2 linked regions of the Oryzias latipes genome follow. The protein of the gene in region 2 purifies or fractionates together with the protein of the main gene of each other region. This does not show direct contact. Links are inferred from orthologs where the notes say so. Each region holds a gene or a part of one and is shown on either strand. Other genes may lie near its edges.

What was found.
Region 1: the proteins of AP-1 complex subunit beta-1 (region 2) and bmp2k purify together in Homo sapiens (affinity purification with mass spectrometry; 3 studies listed by BioGRID and IntAct, with this or other methods). This does not show direct contact. The link is inferred for Oryzias latipes from reciprocal best matches to the Homo sapiens genes AP2B1 and BMP2K.

The regions. Positions count from the first base shown.
Region 1 is NC_019867.2:32,754,472-32,769,619, reverse strand, and holds part of bmp2k (BMP-2-inducible protein kinase), read left to right. Parts: 5' UTR 1-83; intron 84-202; 5' UTR 203-432; coding exon 433-571; intron 572-6,659; coding exon 6,660-6,778; intron 6,779-8,665; coding exon 8,666-8,771; intron 8,772-9,782; coding exon 9,783-9,925; intron 9,926-11,240; coding exon 11,241-11,362; intron 11,363-12,091; coding exon 12,092-12,173; intron 12,174-13,091; coding exon 13,092-13,224; intron 13,225-13,492; coding exon 13,493-13,596; intron 13,597-13,670; coding exon 13,671-13,750; intron 13,751-13,869; coding exon 13,870-14,018; intron 14,019-15,088; coding exon 15,089-15,148. UniProt on the Homo sapiens protein: May be involved in osteoblast differentiation.
Region 2 is NC_019872.2:25,019,173-25,034,890, reverse strand, and holds the start of AP-1 complex subunit beta-1, read right to left. Parts: upstream 9,555-15,718; 5' UTR 9,424-9,554; intron 6,230-9,423; 5' UTR 6,212-6,229; coding exon 6,175-6,211; intron 6,040-6,174; coding exon 5,934-6,039; intron 5,821-5,933; coding exon 5,685-5,820; intron 5,483-5,684; coding exon 5,237-5,482; intron 3,936-5,236; coding exon 3,745-3,935; intron 3,650-3,744; coding exon 3,428-3,649; intron 3,204-3,427; coding exon 3,083-3,203; intron 2,832-3,082; coding exon 2,736-2,831; intron 2,425-2,735; coding exon 2,309-2,424; intron 2,208-2,308; coding exon 2,042-2,207; intron 1,899-2,041; coding exon 1,800-1,898; intron 1,125-1,799; coding exon 865-1,124; intron 1-864. Other genes in the region: mks1 (Meckel syndrome type 1 protein), read right to left, coding at 11,332-11,435, 11,619-11,716, 11,802-11,884, 12,454-12,587, 12,706-12,813, 12,883-12,952, 14,015-14,085, 14,160-14,222 and 4 more. UniProt on the Homo sapiens protein: Component of the adaptor protein complex 2 (AP-2). Adaptor protein complexes function in protein transport via transport vesicles in different membrane traffic pathways.

The sequences.
Region 1 (15,148 bases), on a different chromosome or scaffold from region 2:
CTTCTGGGACATCCAGGCCTGCTGGATCGAATAAAATCCGGAGAGGGTGCCATTCCGCCCTCGGGGAGGTGTTTGGCGCTCAGGTACTTTCCTCTTTGTTGGCGGGGGGGTCCGTGCAGTTCACGGGAGCAGCGTGTTTGGTGGACAGCTACGAGCTAGCTGTGTGTCACGCAAGCTAAAGATGTGTTTTTTCTCTCGAAAGGGGATGCTACTCAGAAGTCTGGGACCAAGTTTCATCCCCGCACGTCACCGCAACACATCTGCACTGTAATGCGGTGGTACCCGACACAACGCGGCCTCTGAAGGAGAACCGGAGCATGCAGGAGTCGAGGAGCAGAGCCCGGATAACCAGATAGGGACGCAGCAGACTACCGGGAACGGGGTGCTCCGTCTGCCTCCGAGACCAGGTTCCGCTGGTGGACGGACAGGATCATGAAGAAGTTTTCCAGGATGCCAAAGTCCGAGAGCGGCGGGCTCGGTGGGGTGTCCGGCTCCGGGGCGAGCAGCTTCTTCGGGAAGGTGTTCGCGGTGGGCCGGTATCAGGTCACCGTGGAGGAGCTGGTCGCGGAGGGTAGGTACCTTCTCCCCCCGCCGTGCGCCACGTTTTCTGGGTCACAGCAGCTGTTCTCGGTACGGGCATCAGGGAAGTTCTGTTCCAGATAAATCCAGGTAATGAGTTCAGGCTCACCGGGACCAGCCCCCATAGACCGAAACGAAGCCCCCCGCCCACATAGCACATAGCCCCATGCAGCTGTTGTCAACATCCTCCTTCAGCTGTCCCTGTGAGGGTTTGGCCCCCCAGGGAGACACATGTCATGCCAGGTAGTGTCATCATGTGACCAATGAGCTTTGTTAAATCTTGATTTCCGGTGGGCGTGGTGTTTGTGCCCATCCGGTTGTTGCTCTTGGGTGCAGTAATCCTCATCCTTGGACATGTCGGACCCGCTGTCCCTCACTTTTTCACACAAACAACGAGGAAGTTTGGACACAGACAGGTTTTTCTGAAAGTCTTCCCTGGCTGTGAACAGTCGAGATGAGTTCAAGTCTAGTTAAACATCGTTTTTAGCGCTTGCTAGTGAATGTCGGTTACAGTTCACCTGTGAGACTGGTTTTAACCCATCGTTAAGTTGACTCGTAAAGTGACTGTTTCCACCGTAAAGCTTTCTAATGTCAGGCTGGAAGCCTGAACACACTCAGCAAAATTATAAAGAGAAAAGCTGCCCTCACTAGTAGTCATGTGTTTGTGTCATCACATAATCACGTGCATTAGCCGTCGGTGGTTTTGCTACCAAACAGCCCAAGATTGCCTGATGACCTTTGCTCATCAATGTGTCTGAGGGTAGAAAGCTGATCACCACGCACGCGTCAGTGTCCCGAGGTCGTTTCATTCCAGTGCACGTCTAGGATGAGCACACGCTCCAGTCAGACCTGAGAAGCACATCATCACGCCTAAGTTGTGAACGTGTAACAAAAGCAGTGGCGTGTACAGCTGTGGAACATCAATCTCTGCTTAATACCAAATGGAAGGTAGACGGGTGATTTATTCCTCATCATACCAACAGTTTGGTTGAACTTTTCTCTGTTTTGTGAGAGAATTCATTGGGATTTACTTTGTAATCGTTTTGAAATGCGCCAATATGTCTTAACATCATAGATTCACAGTAATCCTGACCCCCACCATCTGTTAAAGATGTTGAAAGGCAAGCTGAGTTTTATTTTGAAGGATCATCCAAGCATGTTGATGAGTATTGATCAACTCCATTCACTCATATTATATTAGACTGTACTTGGTGATAAGATAATTGAACGGTTAATAAATACCCTTCTGTGCTGAGGCAGCATGAGAACATGAACACCTCATGCATGGTGAGTAATGCACGTCTGACAGTCTGCATGGAAAACCTGAGGATCTGTCAGAGGTCATCAAAAACAACCTGACCACACACACGTCATTCAGTCTGCTCTTTGTCCTTTTAAAGCTTTTAGAAAGCAGTTGAACCTTACCTCACCTGAGATTTGACTGTTTTCAGTCTTTGATTCTGTTTTGGTTTAACTAGAGAGAATCAGAACCAACGTGTCAACCTGGACATTCAAACCAGAGACGTGCTGATCCGAATCCCCCGTTTGGTTCCGAGTCATTTGATACAGATATCGAGGCCTGATCTGATACTTTTGTAAAACATTAAAAACAGTTATACACTGACCCAAGTTCTTTTATTAACCTTCTTTATTTTTAACACTTCTGTGTAGTAGGTTCAACAATAACGTATAAAACAGTGAAACTATTGACTAGAAAAGCAACGTCGGTTTGTCTACATTGCAGGATTGTTGCTGTGACTTGATCACTCGCTGGGATGCTTCTGTTGCGGCGGTGAAAGATTTGAACTGGGTGTAGTTTGGCACTAAGATTGTAGGTTAAAAAGCTAATATACATCAGAAGCCCTAGACAAGTACAGATAAAGGGGAAACACGGGTGTTTTAAAATGACCGGCTGTCTTCCTCAAACAAAAACTACTTTGGCATTTTTATGCTACAGGGAAATTCTCTGCAGCACAGTGAGACAAAAAGCTCCTCATTCAGTGTCTGCAGGACATCAGGAACACTGAACACTTTCCTGGAAAGAAACGTGACAATCAACACAAGGTCAGACTCTCCACATTCAGAGTTTGCCATGTAACTCATGTTCAGTGTACACATTTTATGAGCCATTGACATGTGGCGCGAAACCGAATTCCAGCAGCACAACATTTTTCAAATGTTTACACTGGAACTCAGTTGGAATATTTCTATTTAGCGTTGGGGTCCTTTGAATCTGGTTCCTACATTAAAGTTGAGCTTTCCCTTCAAAAACCTCCTACATATATCTCTATGTGGAAGAGAAAAGTTTTTACCTAGGAAATGCAATATTGATAGAATAAAGCGATCAGTTTTTATGTAAAATAAACGTGTTCCAGCTTTTGTAATGGTTTGCATCATTGAAAATCTTTTAAAGAGGCTGAGAAACTCACCGTCTGAACGACTGGTATACAGTACTGGTGATGAGCCGGCACAATGTGTGTCTTTGTTGTAGTGCTGTAGCAGCCTGTGAGAATGGTGGTGCGTTTCAGTGCTCTGTTCTGTTGTGGGCTTTGCGGCCTTTGTGCTTGCTCACTGCAGCTCCTGTAACACCACCCCTCCTCATCCTGGGAGAAAACTTGTTTTACCATCTAAGGTGCACATCGATCCCTGAATTTCGGCAATCTGGCAATGCCTCAGGAGTGCAACGTCCTGAAAACGTTGTGCTGGTTCGTCTACAGACCCTTGAAGAAATGAGGAGTTCTTGGTCAGTGTTCAGAGAACATAAATAACAAAAGCAATTTTACCACTCATGGTGATGGGTGAAACCATTTGTCAACAAATTCTGTTTATGTAGGTGTGTGTGAATGCGGGGGCCCTGGGACAAACTGGGGACCCGTCAAAGGTGTACCCCACTTTGCCCAATAGGAGTTGGGACAGGCTCCAGCAACCCCAGGACCTTGAAAGGGATACAGCCCGTTAAGAAAATAGATGGATGGCATTGTTACCTCTTTATGTTTTATTCTCATCAAGACTTTCTGTCTGTTCAATCCAGTAGATCTAATTTGACTTGGTTAAAAAAAACTCTTTGTCTGCGTCCACAGACGGTCTTATGAACGAGGTGGGGCTTTTTCCAATGACCCCTTTTCCAGCTGCTGATGCAGCCACTAATGGACTCGTCTGGCAGACTGTACTACCTGCACTAAAGCATTGTTGTTCTCCTGCTGGCCAGTGCGCATGTTTTGGTGTTCATGCTGTGCATGATTATGACCATTTACCTACATTCACTCACCAGTGAATTAAAGAAGGGTCTGTAAGGACATAAAGACAATTGTTACACATTTGGTCATATTTGTATTTTTTCCACCATGGTCCGACTTTCAGAGAACGGTGTTTTCTTTGCGATTTGATATACGGTGTGGTTTTACTCTGAACCTTTTTGAGTGATGGACATGTGGCACGAGGTGTTGCATATCTGGGATTATAACTATGGGGGTTGGCTCTGGCTTGTTTTTTTATGATCACAGTAGATCTGTATTGCATCTGAGTCGGTCATCGTATTGACCCTGTTTAGAATAACGGCATTAGTTTTCAGTAACTAGCCAATCTAGATTGTTCTGTTTTTGCATTGCTGTTACTGTTGCTAGATGCTAACTGTGTTCTGCTTCTATGAATTGATTACAGGTAGATATGCTGTGCAAACCAGGGGTGTAATGATTAATTTCAACAACAATTTGATTCATATCGTTTGTGGCTGAAACGATTCATAGTCTATATTGTTTAATTTTCAATTAACCAATACTCCATAGTTCATGGTCCAATTTCCACGGGCACGCCGTGGGTGGACGGCACAGATGGCGGTCTTTGCTAACCAGGGCCTTGACCGTTCCAGTGTGGAAGTCATAGGTCTGATTTGTTTACAGTGATCCCTCGCTATAACACGGTTTACTTTTCATGGATTTGCATTGTGTTCTGCATTCTGATTGGCTAAAAAGTCACTCCGCTTCTTCTCTGCCTGTGCGTCAATAACGCTGTAGTTTAATATGTACACATACGTAAAACAGCTTGCCAAATTTACATCGTATGTGCAAATAATCTTGCAATTTGGAGTTTCTCTAAAACCCAGAGAAAAAAGAGCGACAACAACTGTCAATCACTGCGTTCTTCTCCTGAACAAACACAGCTGCACCGCGGGCTTCAGAAGAAGAAAACACTGCAGAGGGGAGTCAGGATGCAGCGGCTCAGTCTGAAGAGCTGTGAAACACACCTGAGTCACTATTTGTCCCACTGTACTGTGTCTTTTAGTCATAATCATTTTAAATTTTCTCCCGGTTAATCCAATTACTCGGGGGGCGGGGCTAATGGGCGGGGCTAATCTCCGCAATTTGAAGCCGTGTGTTCACATTGATGATTAAAATTATTATTTGACAGTACAGAAGTTACTTGTTGAAAAAACTTCTCTAAAGTACTTTGATCTGTGAAACAAATGCTTGAGCCTGTAAAATGGTTTATTCTGTCTGTTCAATGTATAATAGAGTTTTTAATTGTATAATAATAGTTTAAAAAAATAGATGTTTCTACTTCACGGATTTTGCCTATCACGGGTTCTTTTTGCAACGTAACCCCCGCGAAAAACAAGGCTTTACTGTATTTGGTTTGTCAAAGATTTCATGTCGGATGCTGTTCCTGACACGACCCTCTGTATTTATCCGGGCTCGGGACGGCACAGTGAAACCCTGGCTTGGGCCCTCGTGGCTACACACAATTGGAAAAACATCTTGTAGTTTGCAAAACAAATGGGTTCAGATGTGGTTCCAGGAAGCTGTTGGTTTTTTGGAAGACTTGTTCTCCTGTGCTTTGTTACACCTGCTTAACTGCCTGTTCCTGTTGCTCTGTTGGCTTTCATTTGATTAAACCGATTCTGCCATATTAAATCAGTCGTCCAGACACTGATGGTCCATGTCTGGCCCTGTTTGTGTCTGTATCTGCTGTTTTACTGCATTTTGTCTTTTGTTTCAAGGAGCAGACAAACTCTGAGCAGTGGAGATTTTTTAGCTCTCGCAACTCCAGCTTTTTTATCTTTGTTAAATTTGTGGCTCATCTGCACATGCAGCTATTGTGTAACTCCACTTTTGCCCCTAGGAAACATGTTTTAGTTCATCTAACTTAGCGCTGCTGCAGCTCTAACCCCTCTGTTTAATCTGATAATGTTTGCTGAAGTTACACTCGCTGTTGTAAGTGCGCACAAACGAACCTTAAAGTCCCACGCCATCATCTTTTGATCTATTGTCAAAGCAAACATAAAGACGTTAGTACACCTCTTTGTCTGCAGTGTGATCGGAGTGGTGGTGTAGTAACTGTGATGGGCGGGGCCAGCTTATCCATGCTCCGCCCCTTTCTGATCATCCACCTGCAGACCAACAGATCCATGAACGTCTTTGTTTTCCCGGTCTGAGCTGGAATCTGGATCAGAACTGGACTGATGATAGATCAGCTATTGCTGGTCATTTTTGTTACACTGCTAATGTTGGCTTGGGGTTGGAAGGGGCTGTAAGCTAGTGGGAGAGCATGTAAACAGATGGATGATGGGAAAGGTAAACTTTGGAAGTTTAAATGATTGCACTGTGCTGTTATCTCTTTTCTTTTCATACATGGCCTTCTGCACCTCTGTGATCAGCCCACCTTTAGATTGATTCCTCACCGGGTCCTTTCTGTCCAGTGTTTGCATGTTCTGTGTTTGCATGTGTGGGTTTTCTCTGAAACCAAAGAGAGACTGTGTTCCTGTGGTGGACCTGACTTCCCTGCAGCCCCCCTGTAACCCTGTCTGAGTTGGAATTGGTGATGGGGGAAGGAATCTTTTGTGTTTCCTGTAGAAATGACTGGAGAAAGTGATGCAATGGTAGATATTGTTGTACTTCCTGCTGCGACGGCTTGATCTGCCCTGGTCCAGGAGCAGGCGGTGTGGAGTCTATGGGGCTACGATTACCGACCGCAGGCACAGCAATGCTGCGGGACGCCGTGCTGTACAGGCATGATGCTGAGAAAATGTCTCACTTCATCCACAAAGAGTGGTGTGCCTAAACTTTACGATGTTTTTCCTGCAGGAGGATTTTCTGTGGTGTTCATGGCCCGAACGCACAGCGGCGTCCGCTGCGCTCTCAAAAGGATGTATGTGAACAACGTGCAGGACCTGAACGTCTGCAAGAGAGAGATCACTATCATGGTACGGCTTTGGTCACGAGCCAGCGCTTCAGCTGCAACAGTTATCTTCTTCTCAGCTGAAGCCTTTTGAGCTGCATTCCGGTGCTTTCCTTCATAGAGACGTTCTTTGTAGTGAAAGGCATCTCTCTAAATACATATGTAACCTGCAGATCTCCAGTAGAAAGTGACCCAGCAGGACTTCACTGTTCAAGCAAGCACTGATATGAATGGACTTCATGTTTCCTTTGAGCAGCCAGTCATAATGTAGAGTGACCAGAGGTCCTGGTTTAGGGAGGAGGCAGAAACTCCTGTTGGCTGCTCACACTCGCCTGTCCCTCTTCTCCCCCACGCTCAGGTCCTCTCCCTTGATGGGCTCCAGGTAATTGGTGGGCCCCGCCCAGGAAGAAAGTCATTTTAGCCACACAAGAAGAAACAGAAATGCACATTTTCATGGAAACTGTACATTAAACTGCTGTAAACAAACAGACATAAAATAATAAACAACTCAAATCATTACAAACCACAATGGTAATCAAACAAATCCAACCCCTGCCCCCCCCCACTTTCTTATGCCCAACCCCCAAACAGGAAGTGAAGGCCGCTGCCAGAAAGGAGAGCTGAGAAACCAGAAGTCAATAAACAAATTTAAACCTGTGTATGTTCTGGATCCGCTCAGCGGGGCTGGGACAGACGGGTGATAAGTCGACACAAGCTGCTCACAGAAACAGTTTTACATTTAGATGGAGACAAAATCCAACCATAACTTCCTGAAAACCTCCTGTCATCCCTTGTTAAGCACACGTTGCTTAGCAACAGTCAAATCAGGGACAGCTTTAAAACTATCGATGCTGGTGGGATTTCAGAACAGACGTGTTCATATTTGAATTTTGAATTTCCATTTTGTGTAAACTAAGAATGCCTATACATTGAATAAGGTACCTCTATGTTTAACAGAAGTCACAAACATGCTGGAGTAACAAGCTTGTTTCTATACAACTTTCATCCAGACCATAAACTTGCCCTTTTAGGTCTCTAATGTGCACTTTACAGTAACATTAATGTTGAAATGAACACTAAAAATCATTAAAAGAAGACAAAACTTCCAAAGCGATGTGTGTGGCAGAAGTTCCCGTGAGGTCATGTGATCGATGGCTTCCTCTTTAGACTCCAGTATTTCCAGTTGAGCAGCTCTGACAGGCCTCTGCTTCCCAGCGAGGCTGAAGGAGCACAGCAGTAGCCAACGTTGGCCTCTGGTATGTGTGAGAGCTGTAGTAAAGTGCTGCAGACTGCAGAGGAGCATCCGCCTGCAGCTCCGTCTGCTTCTGTCTGCACGGCCTCGTCACCTGGAACACGGACTTCCACCCCTGCACTTGCCTCAGGTGTGTCCGTGTTCACAGCTCTCAAACATGCCGGGAACTGGGGATGGAATTAACCTACAAAAGTAGGAGGCAGGAAGGAGGATAACAAATGGCAACACATCTCACTATTTCATCTTTTACAGGGTTTAACCCTTTTTCACCCAAGATGCCGCTGGCAACACCTGAACAACACGCTCTTTGATGTAAATCTTTGACCGTTCACGGAATCGCCATGAATCCGCTGGTTCTGATGCGACGTGATGTCATAGTGGCACATTACTAACATAAGGTGTTGTCTAGCTGCTTTTCTCTGCAGCAGAATCACTTCACTGCCATGCGGTGTTGGTTATCAGCACTAGGCTGCTTTTCCCGCTCCAGAATCCTCTGGAACTACCTTCAGTGCAATAAAGCAGTACGATGGTGGATAGAATGTCAACACTGGAGCTGATTCTCTGCTGTTGAAAGGGTTAATCTGTCTAAACCCCCCCCGGTCAGTATTGCTCATTTGTGCTCCTCAGTGTTTTGCCCTGAACTCTCTGTCTTGTGTGTAGAAGGAGCTGTCAGGCCACAAGAACATCGTCACCTACCTGGACTCCACCATCAGTTCTTTTTCAGACAACGTTTGGGAGGTCCTGATCCTCATGGAGTTCTGCAAAGGTACGGCCTGTGTTTGTGCACAGAGCTTCTAACTGTGTCTGTGTCTCTCCAACTACCATGAAACTATAACACGCGGGGCGGTGTAGTGCCCAGGATTTTAAAAGCAATACGCACCGACCACACGCTCACTGCTTTGGTCTTTAAACTGCGATTATGACGTCACCCATTTCACAAAGTAAAATTGTGTTTTAGTGTTTTATGACTCTTTATGAACTGTCCTGATGATTAAAACATTGATGATTTATTAAAAAATACATTAAAATAGTTTTTCTGCAGAAATTGTTCAGACACATTGCATTGTGGTCTATGTATGCCAGTCTAGTGAGCATCGATGCACACTGGCTTGTTGCAGAGACTTCTGGGTTGTTTCTAGGGCTCTGGATTTTGGAATTGTAGGTTCGGACAGCACTAGAAAACGGCGAACGCGCCATACAGCGCAGGAATTCAGACACAACAGAGAGATTCTGCTTTTCTCACATGACCTCAGATAGTATGAAACGAAAGTAGAAAGAGATTAAGCAGAGGAAGAACTTCTGCAAAACTCTTCTCCTTCCTTCAGACTTTCAGTTTTTCTGCTGGGACACGGCGTCTGTGAACAACCAGCCTCCCTAGAACTTTAGTGGTCTTCCAGACTCTGGAGGGGTCAGCGATGGTCTTCTGATAATGTCTGAAGTCTTCTGTGTGTTCCACCAAAATGAGACAATTCAATGAGACACGGTGAAGCTTGCAGACAGTTTGTTGGTGAAACTGTTTAAAAACGTATACTTTCTGTGTAACATAAGTTCCATTGCCAACAAAGAAGTGGGCTTCAGACTTGGGCATCAATGCAGACGACTCTTTTTGGTCAGAGATTTGCTCAAACACTTTTTATGAGCGGGAACCGATTGAAATCGTAGAGTCCTGGATCTATATTCTATCTGGCTTGTTCGGTGACTCTTGCAGCTTTTTTCTGTCCCTTGTTGAACCCGTTCTCCAGCCTTGGTCTTGACGTTTCTGTTGGTGCTCCTGCAGCGGGTCAGGTGGTGAAGCAGATGAACCAGAGGTTAAACGTGGGCTTCAGTGAAGCTGAGGTCCTCCACATCTTCTGTGACACCTGCGAGGCCGTGGCTCGCCTGCACCAATGCAAGACGCCCATTATCCACAGAGACCTGAAGGTGAGACGCCGTTTCCCCTCTCCTCACCCTTTGGGGCTCTGAACTCACCTGTGTGCAGCTAACTTGAGCTTTGGATGGTTTTGCTGTAAGGTTACAAGGGTTTTTCACCTTCACTGAGAACCATGCCAACTGTGGTCAGAGAGTCTCCACAGAAAGGACACTTCATGTTTTCGTTGATATTCGGAAGTGAACGCTCAGGTTCAGTGTTACATCCAGGCTCTTAGATCAATCTGTGACTTTGGATATAATACAGACCTGGTGAAGTGGGGGAGTTTAGAGAAGTCGGCGTCTGTCTCCAGAGTTGCTGCTCTGCTTCTTGTTGGCGTGCTTCAGCGCGTGACTCGGCCTGCGATTCTGACGCCTGTCAGACTTTAGCGTGACAGCGCTGCAGACGACAGCAGCCCCTGCAGTGCATCGATGTGTTTTAGTCTCTGATTTCCAAAGGTCAAAGTTCGTAATAAATGTTTCCACTGAGCAAAGAGCTGCCAGGACGTTTCTGAGGAAGATGGACATTCTGAGCCTCATGCAGAAGCTGCATCGTCTTTCACACATTCCTGCCAGAAGAGGGCTGCGTTTTGATGACACTGCCAAGCTTGAAGCGTCACGCGTGATCAGGAACTATGGTCCCAGGATTTCTCACTACCAACCTTGTTTCACCAAAAACAGGGTGGATCTGCCAGACTTTGGGAAATCCCTGTCCAACCGTCCGTTCATGTGGTTCTTTTTATATTGAGTCTGCATTTACTGATGCTCAGCAACTGATGATGATTTCCTGCTGTGGCTGTACCCCCCCCCCCAGCGCCCCGTCAGTGGGAACGGTCCCTTCAGCCCTCTGTTGTCTGTCGGCTCAGCTTGCGTAACGCCGCAGGGACACAAAGGAGCGCGGGGGCCCGGCCCCGCTCTGCCAGGGGAAGTGAGAGTGCAGAAAAGTCCCCTGACGCTCAGAGCATGAACGGCTTTCTGTCAGAGGTTCGGTCCTCTGATCATCAGAGATCCTCAGCGTAGCGTCATTTAGGTTCCTCTCCCCTCCTCTGCTTTCTTTTCTTTGCGTTCTTTTTGCTCTGATTCTTGGCCGTGCGTTTCTTCTAGGTTCCTCGTCACACGGCTCGTGTTTTGTCTGGTGGTGGTGCTCCAAAATAAGAAAACGGTGACATGGATCAATGCTGATGTTCTGAGCTTCTATGTTGTAAAGATTGGAGTGTGACACATGCAAAGACATGGGACTCTGACGTTCAGTCACCAACACGTCTGTGAACATGCTCGTCACTTCCTGTCAATGACGTTTCCTGTGTTTGTCCTCTAAACGCCTGCACAGGTGGAGAACATTCTGCTGAACGACCAGGGGAACTATGTGCTGTGTGACTTTGGCAGCGCCACTCACAAAGTCTTACTGCCTCACAAGGATGGAGTGACAGCTGTGGAGGATGAAATCAAAAAGTGAGTATTGTTCGGCTACACCTCTGACTACAAAGGAGGATGGCGGTTCTCTGCATGACTCAAACCATGCAGTGTCAGTGTCAGGTGGTAATCTGCTTCATTCCTGTCCGTCTTTGTTCTGCTCGGAGCAGCACTCCGTCATAACATTACAATAAAAGCTTCATTTCCACCATGGATTTGGATCTCTGATGGGCAGAAATCGACCTTTGATCCCTTCAATCTCACAGCTTTAATCAGCAGGAATTCTGCTGGATGCTTCACTCACTAAAGGAAAAGGAGGATTTGTAAATCGGGCTAAACGTCTGATTTGGTCTTCATCAGTGCGGGTCATGTGGACCCACAAGACCATCCATGTTTGCTGCTAGTTGGTTTTCAATAATGGCAGCAACCTTTCAAGACGGATCAGTGGAAGAGAGAATAAATATGTGACTCCACGTTCAAGGCAGATGAGTGACAGAAAGGTTAGAGACCCTCCTGTGTGGGGTCAGAGGTCAGAGTTTGTATGAGGTTCATCAGAGCGTGTGAGCCAGAGATCCTGATGGACTCCTTTATATTCTGTAACAAACCCTTCTTGTCTCATCATTCATTCTGCCTGAAATCTTTCCACTGATCCATGATGAACTGCCTTTCTAAGTCCTGGTATGTTTTCGTTCTCCGCTCGGTGAAGTGTTGTTATGACCTCCGGAGACCTTTGACCCGTCGCTGACACGCCTCGTGTTCCTCCTGCAGGTACACCACATTGTCCTATCGGGCTCCAGAGATGATTAACCTGTATGCAGGAACCGGCATCACCACCAAGGCTGATATTTGGGTAAGACCCAAATATGGTTGGGTGTGCAGCGTCCTCCACACCACAAGCAGGACTCTGCAGTCCCATTCAAGCCTCCTGTGTTTGTCATCAGACGCTGGTGTCCTCGGTAATGCTCAGAGTGGGCTTTAGCTGTTTTCTGGGCACCGTGGTCAGAGCTGGAATCAGATGTTTTAGTGTCGCTGCAGGAATGTGGCTGTCGCTGACTCATCAACTGCACATGAATCACATCAGCTGTACTGTTTGGCAACTTCCCCCTGCAGTGACACTTCCTGTTCTTTCCAGGAAGTGACTCTATATGTTGAGCTAAGGAACAGAATCAGGTTTCTGTGGTGTGGATCCTGTCTGATCTACTGGATCAGCTGTGTGAAGAGTTTGTTCCAATCGTAGCAGATGAAGAAGAGAGATCTTCTTTACTCTGGCTGGTTACAGACACACCGTATTCTCCTAGAAAGGTGACGTCCACCAGAGCCAAGCTGAGAGCAGGTCTGCATGAGGACGAGGACCAGAACAGGTCATTTTTAGAAAAGCTTCGGTTTCTTGAGCTCAGCTCCAATGCTTCTTCAGAAGAGCTGTTGTTTCTGACTCTGATAAAGGCCTTCATGGCCTGTCTAACAGGCTGGAACAGGTGAGGGGCGGTCCTTCAGGTGCAGGCGTGGCTCACAGAGCCGGCTCCTCTGGTTCTCATGTGCTCGACAAACGTGTCCCAGAGGTTTGATTCTCCTGTTGTGGAGACGCTGCAGTCATTTGAGTCGTCTGTCAAAATCCTGGTCTTCTGCTTTTTCTGTTCTGCATTCATGCTGCAAAGTCCAGAGCCTGTGACCCCCCCCCCCCCCCCCCCCAGCACCTGAAAGACGGTGTGATGGTGGTGTGGGCCCACACATGCATGTCCTCCTGAAGGCTTCCTGCTCTTCTCCTCAGGCCCTGGGATGCTTGCTGTACAAGCTGTGTTTCTTCACTCTTCCTTTTGGGGAGAGCCAAGTTGCCATTTGTGACGGGAGCTTCATCGTTCCGGATAACTCCAAGTTCTCCTGCAGGCTGCACTGCTTGATCAGTGAGTGGCTGATGTTGGTTCATGTCCCCTTCCAAAGGCTGCCGGTTCAACCTGGCGTGAGGCGGGTGACCCAACATGCCGCCTGCAGCGGGTGATCGTGTGGAACAGTGGACTGTGGTCTTTGTTCCGCCGCGCTAACAGCCTGTTTGAACCGGTTGACTTTGCTTTGATTGACGCCCCCCAGCAGGATGTCCACCCCTGTTCAATGTTGGATCAGCAGCACCACCAAGTGGCCAAAGTTAAAGATGCACTTTTGTGTCTGCTTCAGGATACATGCTGGAGCCGGACCTGGAGAAGAGACCAGACATTTACCAAGTGTCCCACTTTGCCTTTAAGTTAGCGGGAAGAGAGAATCCGGTACCAAACCTGTGTGTGAGTGTCTGCACTCGCCCCACTGGCACTTTTGCACCTGTGCAGGTGTTGACGGTTCTGTGTGTGTTCTGCAGAGCTCAGCCATCCCCACATCGCTCCCGGAGCCGCTCACAGCCAGCGAGGTTGCTGCCAAAAAGAATCTGACAAAAGCCAGGTGGTGTGGCTGTTCCTGCAGGCTAACACTTCCACGCACACCGCCACGCTGGTTACAACATCACAGACGGTTTGGAGGTTTGTTGGTTGTTGGGTTAAAGGTCAAATTCTTCTGTCCAGGATAACCGACTCAGTGGTTCCAACTGAGACCTCCATAGCTCCTAGACAGAGACCAAAGGCTGCAAACTCCAACGTTCTCCCCCTCGCCAACACCGTCACCCCGGCCAAGATGACCGTGCCTTCCACAGCCGTCAGCAACGGCCAGAAAGGTAACGGATGGGTCCAGTGTGACGGCACAGCCATGGTTTAGCCTGTTTCATGCTAACCAGCTTGGATTTGAACTGCAGCTTTTTAAAAAAAGCTTTAAAGGTTGGCATGAAAGCAAGGCTGCAGAGCCAAAGCAAAGACGACGTGCACAGACCAAAGCACCTCCTCCTTGTTCATTCTGTACCAATAAAGGGAGGAAGCTGTTTGGAAGCAGTCATGGCAGTATTTCTATTCACTAGAACTGAAGTTTTCATCCACATTATCTGTTTTGATCCATGCATTCAGACTCTTTTTTTATTAATATCTGTGAGGAAACTGGAGATTCTAAACAGGACTGTAAAATAGGTAAATTAGGCTGGTTCGTTCCTTTCAGTTTCCTGCACACAGAAATGAATGAATAATGACTCAGAGACTAAACTTAGCTTCAGTGAAGATTTACTCCGCACAAATTTGTACGAAGGGTTACAGACAGATGAACAGGGTTGCTGCATCAAAGTCCAAACAACGGAGCTCAAAGTCTGAACAAAGAAAACAGGGAAATGGGCTTGGTATGTGAGCCCTGCATTTGCATATTCAGAAGGTCTTCCAACGCACAACGATGTGAAAATCACAGCCACAGACTGTTGCAGGCTAGGTGCTCGAAGGTCAGAGAGCTTAAAGTGTCAGATCTCTCTGAGGTCACAGACATCTGCCAGGACACCAGCACACACAAAGATGAAGGGGAGGAGACTGAAGGAATGTCACCAGACAACAGTCTTGGTTGTGCAAATGTAATATAATTTTGAGGTGATAATACATAGTGAATCAAGTTTAAACCATCAGTGTAATAAAAAGTAAAAGTTAGTGTAATAAAAGGTAAAGGGGAGTTTCTAACTTTTCTGTTTCTAATTATTCCTAACAATATCCTTATTGTTGTACCGTTTGGTTACAATAGGTGTCACTTATGGCATTTCTTATTTCTTTGACTTGATGAAGTATTTCAGCTTCCTTTTCTGTCAACAATCACACCAGCTTTTTCCCAGGAAAAGCCTTTCTGCTCGTTTTCACCACACTCTTCATTTGGACCCCTCAGCCCCCACTACCAGCTCTGGACAGCCTTCCATGCAGGCCCAGCCGAGCTGTCTGCAGAACC
Region 2 (15,718 bases):
TGCTCCAACATCAACTGTCAATCATCAAAAAAATATCACAAGAATGGGGTGGGAGCAAGGGGCAAACCTACCCGGACACAGCTGGAAATTTAGTACTGAACTGACTGATAGCTGCCCTACAGACTACAAAACAATGCATTATGGGACATGTGTCCTAATGGGTGGTTGTAGTTTAGTGATCAATTAAAATAATTTAATATGCCAACTGATTAAAAATAGGCTACATACATTACAAAAAAATAAAATAATTATAAAAGATATAATATCACAAATCACAGATCATACTAAGGGGGAGAAGAATATTAAAACTAAATTGAATGTTAAGGACAACTCCAACTGTTGTCCTTCAGTCTTGCTGCAGATTCACCTTCATCTCACAGCCCCCCCCCCGCCTGGTGTCCCCAACGATCCAGGCGAGGTGCTGGTTCATCTCAAACACGTCTATCGTTGCATTTTCCCCACGTATTTTCAGTGTGTCTAAAACTAATGTTGTTTTTGCTCGAGCGTGTTTAAAGTTCAAGCCCCGTTAGCTGTCACGCATGTACGTGGGGGACATTTATTCTCCTCAGCTGACCCGACTCCCGCGGGAGCGGTGAGCTGCCGTAACCCGTTTGATGCGCCGCCGTAACCGTAACCAAAACCTAAACCTTCCTCCGGGTCTGTGTGACCCAGAGAAAAGTTCAGCACGGACTGCATGTATTTAGAAAATTACGAGCGAATAGACACTTTTCACACCTTTTCTAAAAAGGAAAGTAAAGCAAAATGCGACCAATTGGTCGCAGTCTGGAGCCCTGTAATCTCTTTATAAAAGAGCAGATCTTTTTCAGAAAAGAACCCTCCTGAAAATTTGGTGATAATTCTGACCTGCTGTGCTGAACAGGAAGGTGTTTCCTGTGGACTCCATGACTTCCCTCCACAAAGGCGCTGGGTGGTTTGTGATAGACGGAGGCCAGGGAGCCAATGTGGCAGATGAGCTCATCCAGCAGTGTGGGCTCAATCAAATCCGTCTCCTCAGAGATCAGCGGTTTCTCTGAGAGCACCACCTCTTTGGCAGTCACAGGGTCAGTTGACAGCAGACGCCAATAAATGTAGCCTCTGTCACGGAGGTCAGGGTTGTCAGAGTCCTAAAATTAAAGACATTAAAAACAGTTGAATGAAGTTGAAGTTTAATGTCTTTACTAGGAGTTTTGACAAAGTCCTGTCAAAACCCAGAAGCTTTAATTTTATGCAACACTGAAAAGCTTGAGAGTCTTGTTACCTATTTGACCACATGAGGATGTGAAAAGATAATAATAGTCTTTCAAATTTCATATAAATTATATACTAATATTTTATTAAAACAGTCAATTATATTTAAATCTAAATTGCTTTTTTTAAACTTATTTCATTAATCTGAACTTCATTTTTTCATCTACAAAAAATACTTTGAAGATTTCTTTACTTACGGTGACAGTAGCGCTTTCAGTTTTTATAGTTTAAATATTTAAAACCTAACATTAGTCTGTAATTTTACATTACCCTGATTTATATTTTTACAACACTATGATATGTATAAAAAAAAAAATCAGATGTTGCAAATATTCATACTCAAATCTTCGATCCCAAATTTCTGGGTATTGGAATATTTGTTACAGCTCTAACCATCTAAATAATAAAAATCTGTGGAAAATTTAAGAACTGAAGCCTCTTTTTGAGTTCAACGTATTTGCATAAAAGGCCATCAAAAACCCAAATGCTGTCATGGTGACAGAAAAAAAAAAGGTGAACATTTCTGTCATCTGAATACAAACAACACATACCTGAGTAGCCAGGCTGAGGACCTGCTGCACCAACTCCTGAGTCTCAGACGGCTTCTTAAGGAACAGCTTGACGATGGCGGTCAGCAGAGTGAGTTGGACCTTCAAACCGAAACAGATTGAAAAAGATCACTGAGGCCACTAGGATTACTGACAAATAAAAATAGGATGGAAACAGACAAACTGTCTGCTGACATTCTCTCCACTACAAGATTAACACGAAGCGTCTTTGTCTGTGACCCCACCTGGGTGCTCTCATCATGGAAACCCTCAAGGAAGCTCTCCAGCAGCTCATCCGCATTGTCAATCCTTTCTGCATACTCCCCAACAATCCAGATCATGGCCGCCCGAGCATCCGGCTCATCCAAAGAGTCCAGGTTCTCACACAGAGTGGCAATGATGCTTTCGTACCTGAGAAATATCAACGGGTTAGCATTAGGCCAAGACGTCCAGCAACTAACGGCTTCTATTAAAGCTGAAAATTAATATTTGAGCTCTGACGGGACGCATACTTGTTAGGGTACTTGCGGAAAATGTCTCTGATGACCACAATAGCCTCCTGGACCACGTAGTTGACCTTAGTCTGGATCAGGTCCAGCAGGGTGCTGACGCAGCGCTCAGCTGATTGCTGGAGAAGAACAGCAAACATGAAGCATGTCTTCATGATGAAAAGCCTTTAAAAAACTCACAAACATTTCGTTTTCAGCAGCACTGTCAACAGTAAACTAATAAATGAACGTATTCATTTGATACACACTGTCTATAACATTTTGACAACACCTAAAGAAACCGACAACAAAAACATTTACTTCCTTCAAAAACACTCACCCTGCGCACAGAAGATTAAATAAACTGTTGCAAAATATTACAATATAAACGCAGATGATGAAAAACGGACAGAGAGTGAAATGATTTACAGCGTCATGGGACCTTTCCTACCTCCACTTTGATGGCACAGCGTCCGATCGCTCGAACCGCCTTCCGCACAAAATCAACGTCTACCTCTGTGGCATATTCCTTCAATTCAGCCAAAACCTGCAAGTAAACCAAGTAAATTACTTTAAATTCGACATAAACATAAACAACTTCATGTCTGTGCTGCTTAGATAACACACATGCTTTGGATTTTAACCAAATGATGACTCGTCTGCTTAAAGTAAAAACTTGCACTTTGTCAATCTGGAATCCATTATGTTTCAATCTTTAATAAGGTCTATATCGTGTTTAACACGGGTAAATAATCTACATAACAACGATCATAGTGAGATGCTTTTCATTTAAGATACCTGGGCGATGTTGGCCTGGGAAGCCAAGCGGATCATAATGTCCAGTTTCTCCAGTTTCACATAGATGGGGTCGTTGTACTTGACGAAGAACACCTTGATCTCTTGTTTGAGGATCTCGGGCCTACACACATTTTAGACAATAAATATTCAGTTTTACCATCTGGTGCTTGATGTACTTCTACTAAATTCTGACATTTTATGTGTTTTTTATTTCAAAAAAACTTTAGGCCACTTTGCATACTTTTTTAAATGGCAAAATCGCTGCAAAACTGTCAAAAGTACAAGATAAAAAAGCTTTTTCTTAGTTTTCTGTATTAGAAACTTAGTAGGTCCGATCACACACACCTCTTCTGAACAATGAGGTTGATGTTCCTCAGAGCCACATACTGGACCTCTGGTTCTCCAGAGAGCAGGGTAACCAGTGGAGGGGACAACTTCTTCAGCAGCATGTTGTAGTAGTCGGAGTCTTTGGGCAGCAGCTCTAAGAACTTCATGAGGACCTTGACAGCAGACAGAACCACTGCTGAGTTGGCATGAGACAGTCGGGGAGTGACTCGCTCACAGATGCTTCGAAAGAAAAGCAGGAAAATGTCAGCCAGAAAAAAAAAGAAAACAACAGCAATAGTGTACAGTAGATGAAAAGAAGATGGCGTTAAAGTAACCTTTGAGCTTCACGTTCATCCTTTGGGTTGTAGTTTGAGAGACAATCCAGGATGAAGATCTGCCCCCACTCAGTGCATTCATTTAGAGCCGTCAGCAGCTTGTTAATGTTCTGAGGGTTCAGGTCCAGGAGGTTGCTGTTGGGGTGAGACTCGCTGATCTCTGACAGGGCAGCAACAGCATTGGCCACAACCTTAAGAGCACAAGAGGATTTCAGTTTCACTACTAAGATCTTTACATTAACAGCACTAGCTTTAATAGCATCGCATCTGGCGTAAATTCCAACGGCGTAAAAAAATGTTTACCGGTACTTTAAATTACGAGAAGGGTAGCAGAGTTAATCATAAATGTAAACGTTTCCAGAAATGGGGCAGCAAGGCAAAACACAAATAAAAAACTACTTTGTGGGTATATTTTAAACAAAATAAATGCTTACGATTACATTTTGTTCACATAATTGAAAAAAATAAATGCCACAGTATCTTAATACAGCAGTGACATGCAGGCAGGGGAGGCAATGCTTCACCCGCCGTCATAAGATATACAGGCTACTGATGATTTTATAAATACTTGTTTACTAATCTGTGCCATCAATGCAGAGATCAAAATCTCTGTTTTCTGGGGTGCTTTTTTGTTCCATTACAAAAAAGGCTGGCAGCTGCGGCAGCATCGAGTGCTGCCTCACCCTGGAGGGCGCCAACCCTTCCAAACTGGGTTGATTGCGTGCCTTTTGCTAACTTAATTCATGCTACCAATATAATGCTTTATTTAAAAAAAACCATACATTCTAGACATGTTTAACATGTCTCTACTTTCCATATAACAGTTATGGGATTTATATATATATTTCCCTAATTTAGTGTTCAGATCTGACAAAAAGCCGCACCGAGAAGGCATAAGGCGAGGCAGGCAGTAGAAGGCGCTCGTCAGCTCATGTTTGTTTTTCTTTTGCCAATTCAATAGGAGTGTTATTTTATGTTTTGCTCTGACAGACTGAAAAAAATGGCGGATGTAATGTCCCAGCTCCAAAAGTCTCTGAAAATTGGACGTTCACTAAAAACAAAGACCAAAGCTGAGCTTTAAGAGCTTCAAAGTCTGAAAAAGGTTTTCAAATATTTCTAAAAGTAAAAAGAGGAGCAGGGTTTTGACACTAAAGTCACTGAGATTTTCGCCCAGAGGAAGACGCGTACAGACCTCATTTACAAGGAAAGGTTAGCTCAGTGAGAGAATCCTGTGTGTGCTTGAGGTGCGAGTGGGAGAAAGCATCCACCATGGTCTGTAGCATCCATACATTTTACATTCTTCTTTAATCCAATATGTACCTTGTTTTATATATTTATTTGGTATATTGTATATGAGAATGTGTGATTTCAGTCTGTGATTTAACCTTTTAATGGGTTTCGGCCTGTTGGCAAACATAACTTAATAAATAAATCATTTTCTGTCATGAAATATATAAAGGTATAATCTTATAAAGTAAGTCAGAACACACACCATGGGGTTTGAGTCAGCAATGAGATCTCTCAGAGAGTCCAAGAAACCTTGGTCCTCCACCATCTGAGCATTTATGTCGTGTAGTTTAGCGACGCAGACGGCCGCCGTCTTTCTCACATACGGATCCTCGTCTTTCAGACACTTCCTCAGCGGCTCACACAGGTATTCTGTTATTTTGTCCACTCGGATGCAACCCATGGTGCGGACAGCCAAAGCTCGGATTAGAGGGTTGGGGTCCTCACAGTCCTATATAGCAAAAGAAAAGAAAAAAATTAGATTCCACTGCGGGCAGATGTTTAAAAAGATTCAACTTGGTTGACTGGAAAAAACTCCTTTCTTAAAAAAAATTTAAAAGATACTATACACAGCAATCCCCATGTCATTTGGTTGATAAAGACTCCAGGTAAAATTACTTATTGCGGGACTTGTATTAATAAAAAGGATTTGCCTTGACAAAACTGTTGACAGCCATGATGGCCATGTCAGGCTGGCTCTTGGCGTAGTTCATCAAATAGAGGTAGACCAACTTCTTCAGCTCCAGGTTATCCGTCTGCATGCAGTTGACCACATCAGGGAACAAAGAACTGACAGCAAAACAAAAGGACGTGGTCAATATATAACATGAAATAATCAGGGGTGTTGTCTGCAAATTAATCAAATAAGAAAAATTAAATACAATTGAATATTTTTCATGTACCTGACATCCTTGCCAACAGTCATGGCTGCAATGACTTTTTTCACAGCTTCCTTCCTTTTCTCCTTTTTTTCATTGTTCAGCTCTGCCTTCAGTTCAAAGATCTCCCCTGTAAAATGAATAATACATCAACTGTTTTAAAATCGGATCTGAAAAGGTCAATATGAAAGGATTTCATTATTTACATTAGCTTAATTTGGAATATGTGTAAGAACTGGCATGTTTTCTACCCGGAACCACTTACCTTTTTTGTTTGTAGTGAAATATTTGGAGTCCGTCATGATTGTGGTCCCTAAAGGCTAAAAAAAAAAAGAAAGGTAAATGATTGTACATGTAGAAAATTACTCAGCAGCCTATCACAATCTTTCCTTTTTTTTTCTTTTCTTTACAAACTTGTTTCAATTATTGTTCTACTAAATGTCAATGCCTTTCAGCACAACAAATATCTAAAAAAAATCTTTGAAATCCCTTATTGTAACTTGAATAAAATGAATCATTTTTCTTCAATATAAACTTAATTGAAGGAAAATATTATATACAAAAACTATATCAGGGAGAAAAATGATTAAACTCAGGAAAATCCCAGTGAAAAAGGAAAAAGAAAACAGTGCACATAATCAAAAAAAAACAAGAGCAGAGACAGAAGAAATAAGTAGAGAAAAAAATGGGAAAAAGATGGGACTCTGCCAGTTTCAGAAGAAGATTGCAAAAGGTCATGTCAGGTGAAATAGGTCAAAACCAGGTCAAATTATTGGTGGGAATTTTGCTGGGAAAACGTCACAAGATTTCTTTTTTAAATCACTCCAGTTCAAAAGTGGCATGAGAGCAGTGGAGATGCAAGCTGGAGATGTGGAAGCACTTTCATATATTCTGGGACTGTTCAGCTGTTCAAAAAATACTGGGTTGAAACCCACACACATTTGCAGAAAGTGTTTAAGATTGCTTTTACGTGTACATTTGTGACTGCTGTTTAGTATGAACAAGACATGATTATGTGAATGAATGAAAACGTATTCAATATTGTTATGTTCTGCACTCCAAATACACATGAGAGTACCGTATAAAAATGTGCATATGTTTTATTAAACACTACATATCTTTGTAACTGGACTTGGGATGGATTTAACTTTTTGGATAAAAACGTACTTAACATGCTTGTACTTAACATAACTTGCTGGCAGCAAGTGCAAAAAGCTGCAAAACAAAAAGATGCTACAAACAGCAAACCCCAATAACAGAGGAGTGGGTCACTATACTCACAATATTGACATTATGGAAAAGCTTTCATTCTTAATTCAAATTCAGACAGGTTTTATAAGAAATGGTCAAATTGGACAGACTATGTTAAACCTGTCTGGACAGATTTTTTCTAAAAGTCGACTTTTAGAATATTTTAATAATTTATTATGATAACACAGTGTTTAAGAAAATATATACACAGTTTTATACTCTCATGTGTATTTGGCGTGCAAAGCATAACAATATTGAATAACTTTTCATTCAATGGCATGATCCTTGCCTTACACATGCTAAACAAGAGTCACAAAAATACACCAGGACAGAATCCCAGAAAATATCTCCCAATGCACAACTCTTTTCCACACCAACATATTGACTAAAGAGTCCAGCAGGGTGTAGTTTTTCACAATAAAACAGCCATTGTTTGGTTTTTAGATTGTTTACAGAAGTCCTAAAATGCATCACCAATAGATTTATCAGTAAGATTGGAAGAAAGCCCCATTCATACAACATTTTATTTTACTTTAAAAAAAAAACTTTATTGTACAAAACGTAAGTACAATCCAAAACACAATTTTGCAAAGTAATCTTCAGATATGCCTGGGGAGCATACATATTACATGCATTTTACATAAAAATATTCAGGTTTCTACAACCTTCATACAAACATACAGCTTTTTGATTAAGGCTTTTAGAGATGTTACTGAGATACATTTCAATTTGTTTGATTAACAGAGGGGATAATATAGAAGAGGAAGAAAATTTGCGTTTATGAATATAAAATCTGCCAAATGTAATAATAAGATTACTTATGAGTTTTTTATTTGAGTCCAAGTTTTTATTATGAAAGCCAAAAATTATATATTCAAATTTCAGAGTGAAGTTGGGGTGAATATGATTTCTGATCAATTGTAAACACTTTTTCCAAAAAAATTCTAATTTCAGTACAATTCCAAAAAAGGTGGCCAATTGTTTCTGGTTGTGTTTTGCAAAAGGTACAATTGATTTAATGCATCTTAGCATGAATTGATTGGTGGGGTAAATTTCGTGAATTATTTTAAAAGAAACTTCATTCATTTTATTATTTATCATAAATGTTTGGGTCACACTCCAACCTTTCCTCCAAATACCATCGGGAACAAAACATGTCCAGTAGGTTTTAGTACATGGCACAGAAATGACGTCCCAGAGAAATTACAAGTACTTTTATGTTTTTTGTTCTAGTGTGAGGGATTAAAGCAGATTTTTCCTGTGGTGGTGTCAGTTGCATCCATAGAGGGCATTTCTTCATTCCTAACAGTTGTTTTAAACATTTGGCATATTTCTTTGGAAACGGTTTCAAACACAATGGCATATTCTTTAGAAGTCACAACCAGATTGTATTTAGAGTTGAATTCAGTATACCTTAATAAATGCCCGTTCATGTTAAAAAGTTGGCCCACCAGTAGAATTCTTTTCTCAAACCAATGTGGGGAAAAACAAAGATTTTTTCTTGTATAATATTAATATTTGTTGTTCCAAATAAATAAGTTATGAGGAGAGAACTTGTGTTTAATAGTGCCACCCATGCAAGAACCATTCATACAACATTGGCAGTTTGTCTTTTGCAATAATAAATAAATATGATAGTTAGTGATCTACGGCTGAGCGGGAAATATCGGAGTCTTTACAATAAATCCACAAAGAAACAAAAGTAACACGTTTACCAATAATGAATGATGGTGGCTGCACGCCCTAACTTCTTCTACAACGGAGCGATATGCTGCTAATTTTTGCACATTAAGCAAATTTGTTTTCCGGTTTCAACTCGCCGCTCCGGTTTGAAAGCTAAACCAATAATCTTTTACAAGTTGCGACAACAAAATCGGCATTTTTCACCGTTTGTCCTCTCCGAAACAAAACGTTAGCTAGAGTTGAGCCACAGCCGTTACACTTCGCTAGCATTAGCTAAAAAGGCTAACCATCATCGTCCTTTACACTTCAGTGACGAAGTGTCAAAATGCAAATTTACACAAATGTCAGGGTACTTATTTCGACAGTTTCTTTGCAACTGTATGTGACGCGTTTATTTTCAGTCGAACCTCCACATTGAAATGAATAGCGAGAAGCGGCCCAGTTTCATCACATCACCGACCGACGAACGGAGCTACTCTGCCGCTGGACTGTCACTGTGCCACCTCCCTCAAAAGTATAATCAAAACAAACGTGTAGATATCTACTTGTATTTCATTTTTAACAGTTTCATGTTCAATACCTGGCTGCGGTTACGTGAGCCGGAAAATAGTCCAAGAGGTCGAAGACGTAGGTTGGTCCTGTGCTTGGTGGGGAAAAAGATGGAGAATCGGGATATAGATGGTGAGTTCACGATCGTAGGAAACTGGAAAACTTCCTACTGGAGTGCAGAAAAGTGGGCGTGTGAACATGAAATCAATTTTTTTTTCATGATTTGGAGCACAAACTCTGACCCAACCGTTTATTTTAAAACAAAAATGAAGCTTAATTAATGACAATTTTTTAAGCCATGTTCATGTTGGTGTTTTTATTTGCTAGTTGTTTTGTTGTTTTAAACTATCAGAGCATCTTACTTTTAACAAGTAAACGTGCAAGACTGCAGGTGTTTATATTATTGATAGTTTAAAAGAAAAAAATGCAAATTACAATCTTTTTTACATAGTTAAAGATTAAATTGCAAGCACATAAAAGCCTTTCTAACCTAGGTCAGTGTTGTAAATCCTCATAAAATCAAAGAACACGTTCTCTAAAAATAAAATGCATTAGTTTCTTAACTAAATGACGCTTCACAAAAGATAAAAATCTATTTTTTTTTCATTTGATATTCACTGAGAAACAGCATACAAACAGCAAAGAAATCAATTAAGCTTTATCAAAAGCCCATTAGGGTCAACTACCACAATCCATGAAACCAATACTTTATTTTTCACCTGTAACTTATATACAGTGTGGCTTCAAAATTATAAAAATGACATAAAAAGTTGGGTTTGTTTTAAAAAAAAAAAGGATGTTGCTTTAATTAAAATAACAAATGTATAACAACAATGAAACTTCAAATATTTTGTAGCAAAAACATTTATTTGTAGAATTATATGCAATAAAATGCAAAAACTACCCCAACAAATTAAAATCAGCTGATTTTTTTTTCCTGACAGTAATCCTGAGAACATGATCTCTTTTAGCCAAACTGGCATCGTTTTTAAAATCCTATTCTGAACCAAGCACCATTCATCCCTGTATCAAGTATAGCAAAAGAACAGATGCATAAATTGTGCATAGGCTGATCAAATGAGAATGACGAGATCCTTAAGACCGGCTCTAAAAAGAAGGAGAAGACTATAGAGATTGCTTGATTTGTGAAAAAGATGTTTCAGGAGGATTTCAATTTCTATTTTTACAGTAGACTGTAACAATAGTTTTGTACTGTTAAGGGGCAGATCAATAATAATTTAACTGAGTTTAAATGAGAAAAAAGCTAAATGTCTTTAACTGAAAGTTGGTATGGTGCTTCATGGAACCAGGTTAAAGTAAAGCAGCAGAGGGTCAGGTAAATTGAGATTAGCTCTGAGAAGATCCTTTTGAGGGACATGAAGCAAGAGTCTCTGTTTTGCCCCAAATAGACCCGTTGATGTAGGGAAACGACACAAAGGCTTTCCTGGTTAGTGGCTAATTCAGCTTCATTCTGTTAATCACTAGGCTATTTCTGACAGTAAAAAGTAAGCTTTAGTAGATTTAAACAGCACCAGAACATTTCTCGTATCTGCGTACATCAGTAGGTACTGGCAGAACATGAGCGCAGCAGCTTCTGTAGAGGGCAGGAGGTGAAAAGCAGCTTAGAACTTGTAAAAGAGTTAATTGCAACAAAAAAAAACTCCCGAGTGGATTTTCAACAAGTTCCTTAGCCATTAAAAACTGCTGTGAAATTTGCCTGTAGTTTCTAAGGCAGGTGTGGTCACTTTTTCCACATTTTGGTGGATTGATGTATGTTTTGCATCATTACAACCTGACAAAGTGACTTATTAATCCTTAAAACATGAAATGTTCCACAGATGCTCACTGGACCGGTCACTAGAGAGTCATCTTTGCAAAATTCTGAGTCTGTGCCAGGATCTTCTTCCACTCAGTCCCACTGAAAGTTTGGTTTTCAGTCTCATGCTGAGGATTCCTGTTGGAGTTGGGAACCAGTGTTTATTACGCCTCTCGGAAAACTTTCTCTGGCCTCCTGCATCTTTTTCCTCGCTCTCTGAAAAGCCTCTGACAGAGAAAAACATGAAACGTGTTAAATGAAACTATTATTAACATTTAAATACAGCACATTTTAAATCCTAATTGCATCCCAATAGCCCAACAAATGTTGATCCCTAAATAAAGTTCAGACCTCCAGAATTTCAGTGCAAAGAGGCTTGGAAGTCAAATGGATTTTTTGTTTTTTTTTACCCAGAATGTTGCAAACAGCTCCTTGTTGACTAAATCCTCCCAAATGCTCAAAAACCTTCTGTCTCCTCCTTTTCAGAACAGCAGCATCCACAAATGCCCTGAAATGTACACACGGACACAAAAGACCACTGTAGTTATGTTGCTGGCAGACTGAGACCTGTTTGACGCTTACCTGACACTCACCTGGCTTGCTGGATGCAGTGCAGGTTAAAAGTGACGCTTCCTGTGGTTACAGTGCAGAAACCAAAGCGACTCAGCCTGTCCCCCTGATACAAAAATGTTAGAGAATAACAACAAAAAACATACACATACTGTAAATACTAAAACACCTTTGTTTCAATCATGTATCAAAAGCAAGTCCCTGTTTATCAAAAACCCAAAGAAATCATTTTTTTCAAAGTCTGTTGGTTATTCTGATATTTGCACTCCGTTAAATGGTTTCCACCAGAATGTCACAGTAAATGCAAATTATTGATTTTTTTATTCAAAAGTGTACAATTTAATTCAATATATAGCAGCAAAAATTAAAATAATCATCAATTTGTTTTCAGATTTCTATCCTAAGTCCAATTTTTTGGATTACTTAAATAGTGATTTAAAAAAAGAAAACGTTTAATTTTTGCTTTGACAAATAATATTCACAAAAATGTATTTCAGAAATGGAAGAATCAATAATTTTATTGAAGTTAGGATTGACTCAATTTCAACTGACAATTGAAACCCAGCTGCCCAAGGAGTATGTATCGATAAAATCACAACATATTTATTTAACTTTATACCTGATAAAAATCAACATCAATTGTCTAAAACTTTGTTTGAGCCAGCTTTGATTCACCTTGAATGTTCCTGGAGTTCTGACATAACTGTCATCTTCAAGCTCAGCAGAACCTCCAATAAAGAAGCGCTTCATTGCAGACACAGTCCCTGTCTGAACAGGCCTCCATGTGTGACATGTCATGGTATGTTTACCTGGTATACAAACACAAACAAGATGTAGAAACACTAACCATTTAGAAATCCCTTGATTAAATGTGAACAGTAACAAAATAAACTGAATTTAAATGAGATTTCAGGAAATACATCGTACCGGGCGTGGCAGGAAAAAGCAGATAACCATAGCCTTCCGTTCGATAGCGCTGCCAGAAGTCCAAGGAAAGAACCTTGAAGTAAATCACTGGCCACTGAGGAATGCCTTCTAAAGTAAGATAAAACCTGGATTCATAAAACATAAACTATGCTATAATACTTAACAGCTGATACTAACCTTCACCGTCTTTTTGCTTCATATAAAGAGCCTCAAAAGTGAAGGGATAGCTGAAGAAAGCCACATCTTCCTGTAGACGGAGAGTTTGTTGAGGGTTTAACAACTTCCACTCAAAAAAGTGGTTTAGTCTCTTACATGCAAGTTGTTTCTCTTTCGGCTTTTCCCATCAGGGGTCGCCACAGCGAACGAGCCGCATGGTAAACTTGGCAATGTTTTACGCCGGATGCCCTTCCTGACGCAAGCCTCTCAAAGCAACCGGGCTTGGGACCGGCACAGAGGTAGAGAAGGGAACAGGGAGCAGCCCGGATTTGAACCTGGGTTTCAATTCAATTCAATTCAATTCAATTTTCTTTGTATAGTCCAAAATCACAACAACAGTCGTCTCGATGGGCTTCGAAGTAAAACATGAACTTCCACAGACGGAAGGCGCCGCAAACCAGCACGAGCTAAACCGGCTCCCTAGTCTCTTACATGCAAGCAATCAAGATTTTTTTTTTTCTAAATGTAAGCCATTAAGTATCAGAAAATATACAGGAATGCATTGTCAGTACAAAACCGAGATGCACCTTAAAGCAACAACCACTTGACAAACTTGTTTTTTGTCTCTACACATTTACAGGGCCTTTTTCCTTTGGGCATCTAGCTTAAAAGGGACGCCCAGTCAAGACTTGCACATTTGACTTCAGTTGTACAGCAGATGCCAAACCCTGTTCTTTAACCAGACTTGGGACAGGCACATGGAAACACTGGAGAGTGCCCACTGTGTGCCCGCAGTCATTTACAGCACATAGTAGTCCCAGACAATCTCTCATTAAAGAAACAATCAGGCGTTACCCCGGTTAGCTTCTGGGGACTGGTGTGTCCAGGGTGGCAAAGCCGTTTATGGATTCTTTTATTTCCAGTTACAGAATTTTGCAGACAGACAGCAAGTTGTGGCTGAGCTTTATGCTTTAACTAAGCCTCTGCTGCACTCTCCTACACTGATGCTCTTACTTTTCCAGTCTTTTAAAGGTATGTTTCGGCAGAGACGTTCATTGTCGACTCAGCAATTGCTAGTCTTGAAGACTTTTTTAGATAAACTGTTGTGGAATTGTGTAGCTTTTCAAGCTAAGCGTATGCAAAACGTTCACACCTTTTCAAGAGACTTGGTCCGACAGGTCTGGGTGACCTCTGATAGAGACTGAGAAGGCAAACTGGACCAATCTGAAAGAAAAACATCAGTTACAGCTAAAGAGGCAAAAACAACAATCAAACAACTACTGATACTTAAGACTTACTATTGGGCAATTCCAAAAAGAAGTGTATGTACAAGTTGTCATATTCAAAGCCTTGAGCTGAGACTGTAAAAAAATAGTAGTTATTAATTCTAAACGTGTATTATATATATATAACTGCTAAAGTTAGCTCTGCCTTTTGACTTACCTATTTCTCCGTTCATCAGGTAACGCAGTGTACCTGCAGGAGGCTAAACAACACACATCTCATAGCTCACAAACCTAAATACAAGTCAACATTTACTCAAGTGATAACTATCCTTAAACCTTAATCCTTAAACCTTTTTTTGGCTAAAACTCCTCAAATGTAAGAATTTGCTCTTTAGTATATAGTTGATAGATCATAACATACTTGTCTTTTTTTTAGACCATGGTAAGCATTGAAAATTTGAATTAAAAACGTTACATTAAAACGCCTTACCAGCAATTAACGACATTTATTCAACGGAAACAATAACATACAGGCTGAGACTGCAAGAGTCACAATAACACCGAATGTGGAAAAAATGGACACTTTTCAACAAATAGACACAGGATTGACCTCTGTTTTGAATGTAGTTTGTGGTTTGTTTTCATGTAACAAAAAATCAATAAAAATAAAGTTTAAAACAAAAAACGCCTTACCATTTCAAAGTCCTGTCCAACAAGACCACTGAGGAACTCTTTGTGCCTCACATACAGCTATAAAGAGGAGGGACAAAGTTGATCCTGATTACAGCTTTCATCTTCCATTTTAGCAATAAAAATGTTCTGAATCTCTTTCCTGGTTTATTAGAAAATGCTGATATTGACTCACATCTTTATACATGTTCTGCTCCTTGTTTTTTTCCTCTGGCTTCATGCTTTTTGATACGTTCTCAAAAGTAAGACGCCATATTTCTCGGTTTTCTCCCTCAGCGACAATCCTGTCCAACGACACAAACGTCCGGTTAAATGTCTGATTCACTCTATTATTTTTGCTGTGGTTTTAAATGTACTTTGCTTTTTTCTTTTTTTAAACATACAATCGTTTTAGGATTTGCAGCTTACTGCTGCCATTCTACTCATCCCTTGTGCTATCCTAGGCACTTTACCATTGGGAGTTGGGTCATCTAGACCCACTATTCAGTGCTCTGAACTTTTTTTCTTCAATGATTTGTGATCTTCACTGGTGTCCATGGATTACATGAAATCTTTCCACCTTTATCCACCTTTGTCATGGTAGGAATTACACGTCAATGCAAGGGTGGGGTCATCTAAGATAGCACAAGGGTTAAATGATACGCTAAAAAATGTAGGATTCATTCTCAGCCATCACAGAAGCCTTGTAAACTTGCCTGTAGGGCTCTCGGCCTTTGTTGAAGTCAGGTTTTACAACTATAGTTCCATGGCCGTCGGTTTTTATAGTTATCAGCAGGCACTCGTTCTCTTTTTGACCAAGCCTGAAAATTCACAATAAACATCCTGTCAAATGGTTAGTAGAGCTTTGCACTGGCCAGCTCTGCATGTCATGAGATTAAAAAGTTTACCTCTTACAACCCTTGTGCTGTCTTGTGGGGTATGTGCATCTGGACCCCACAAAA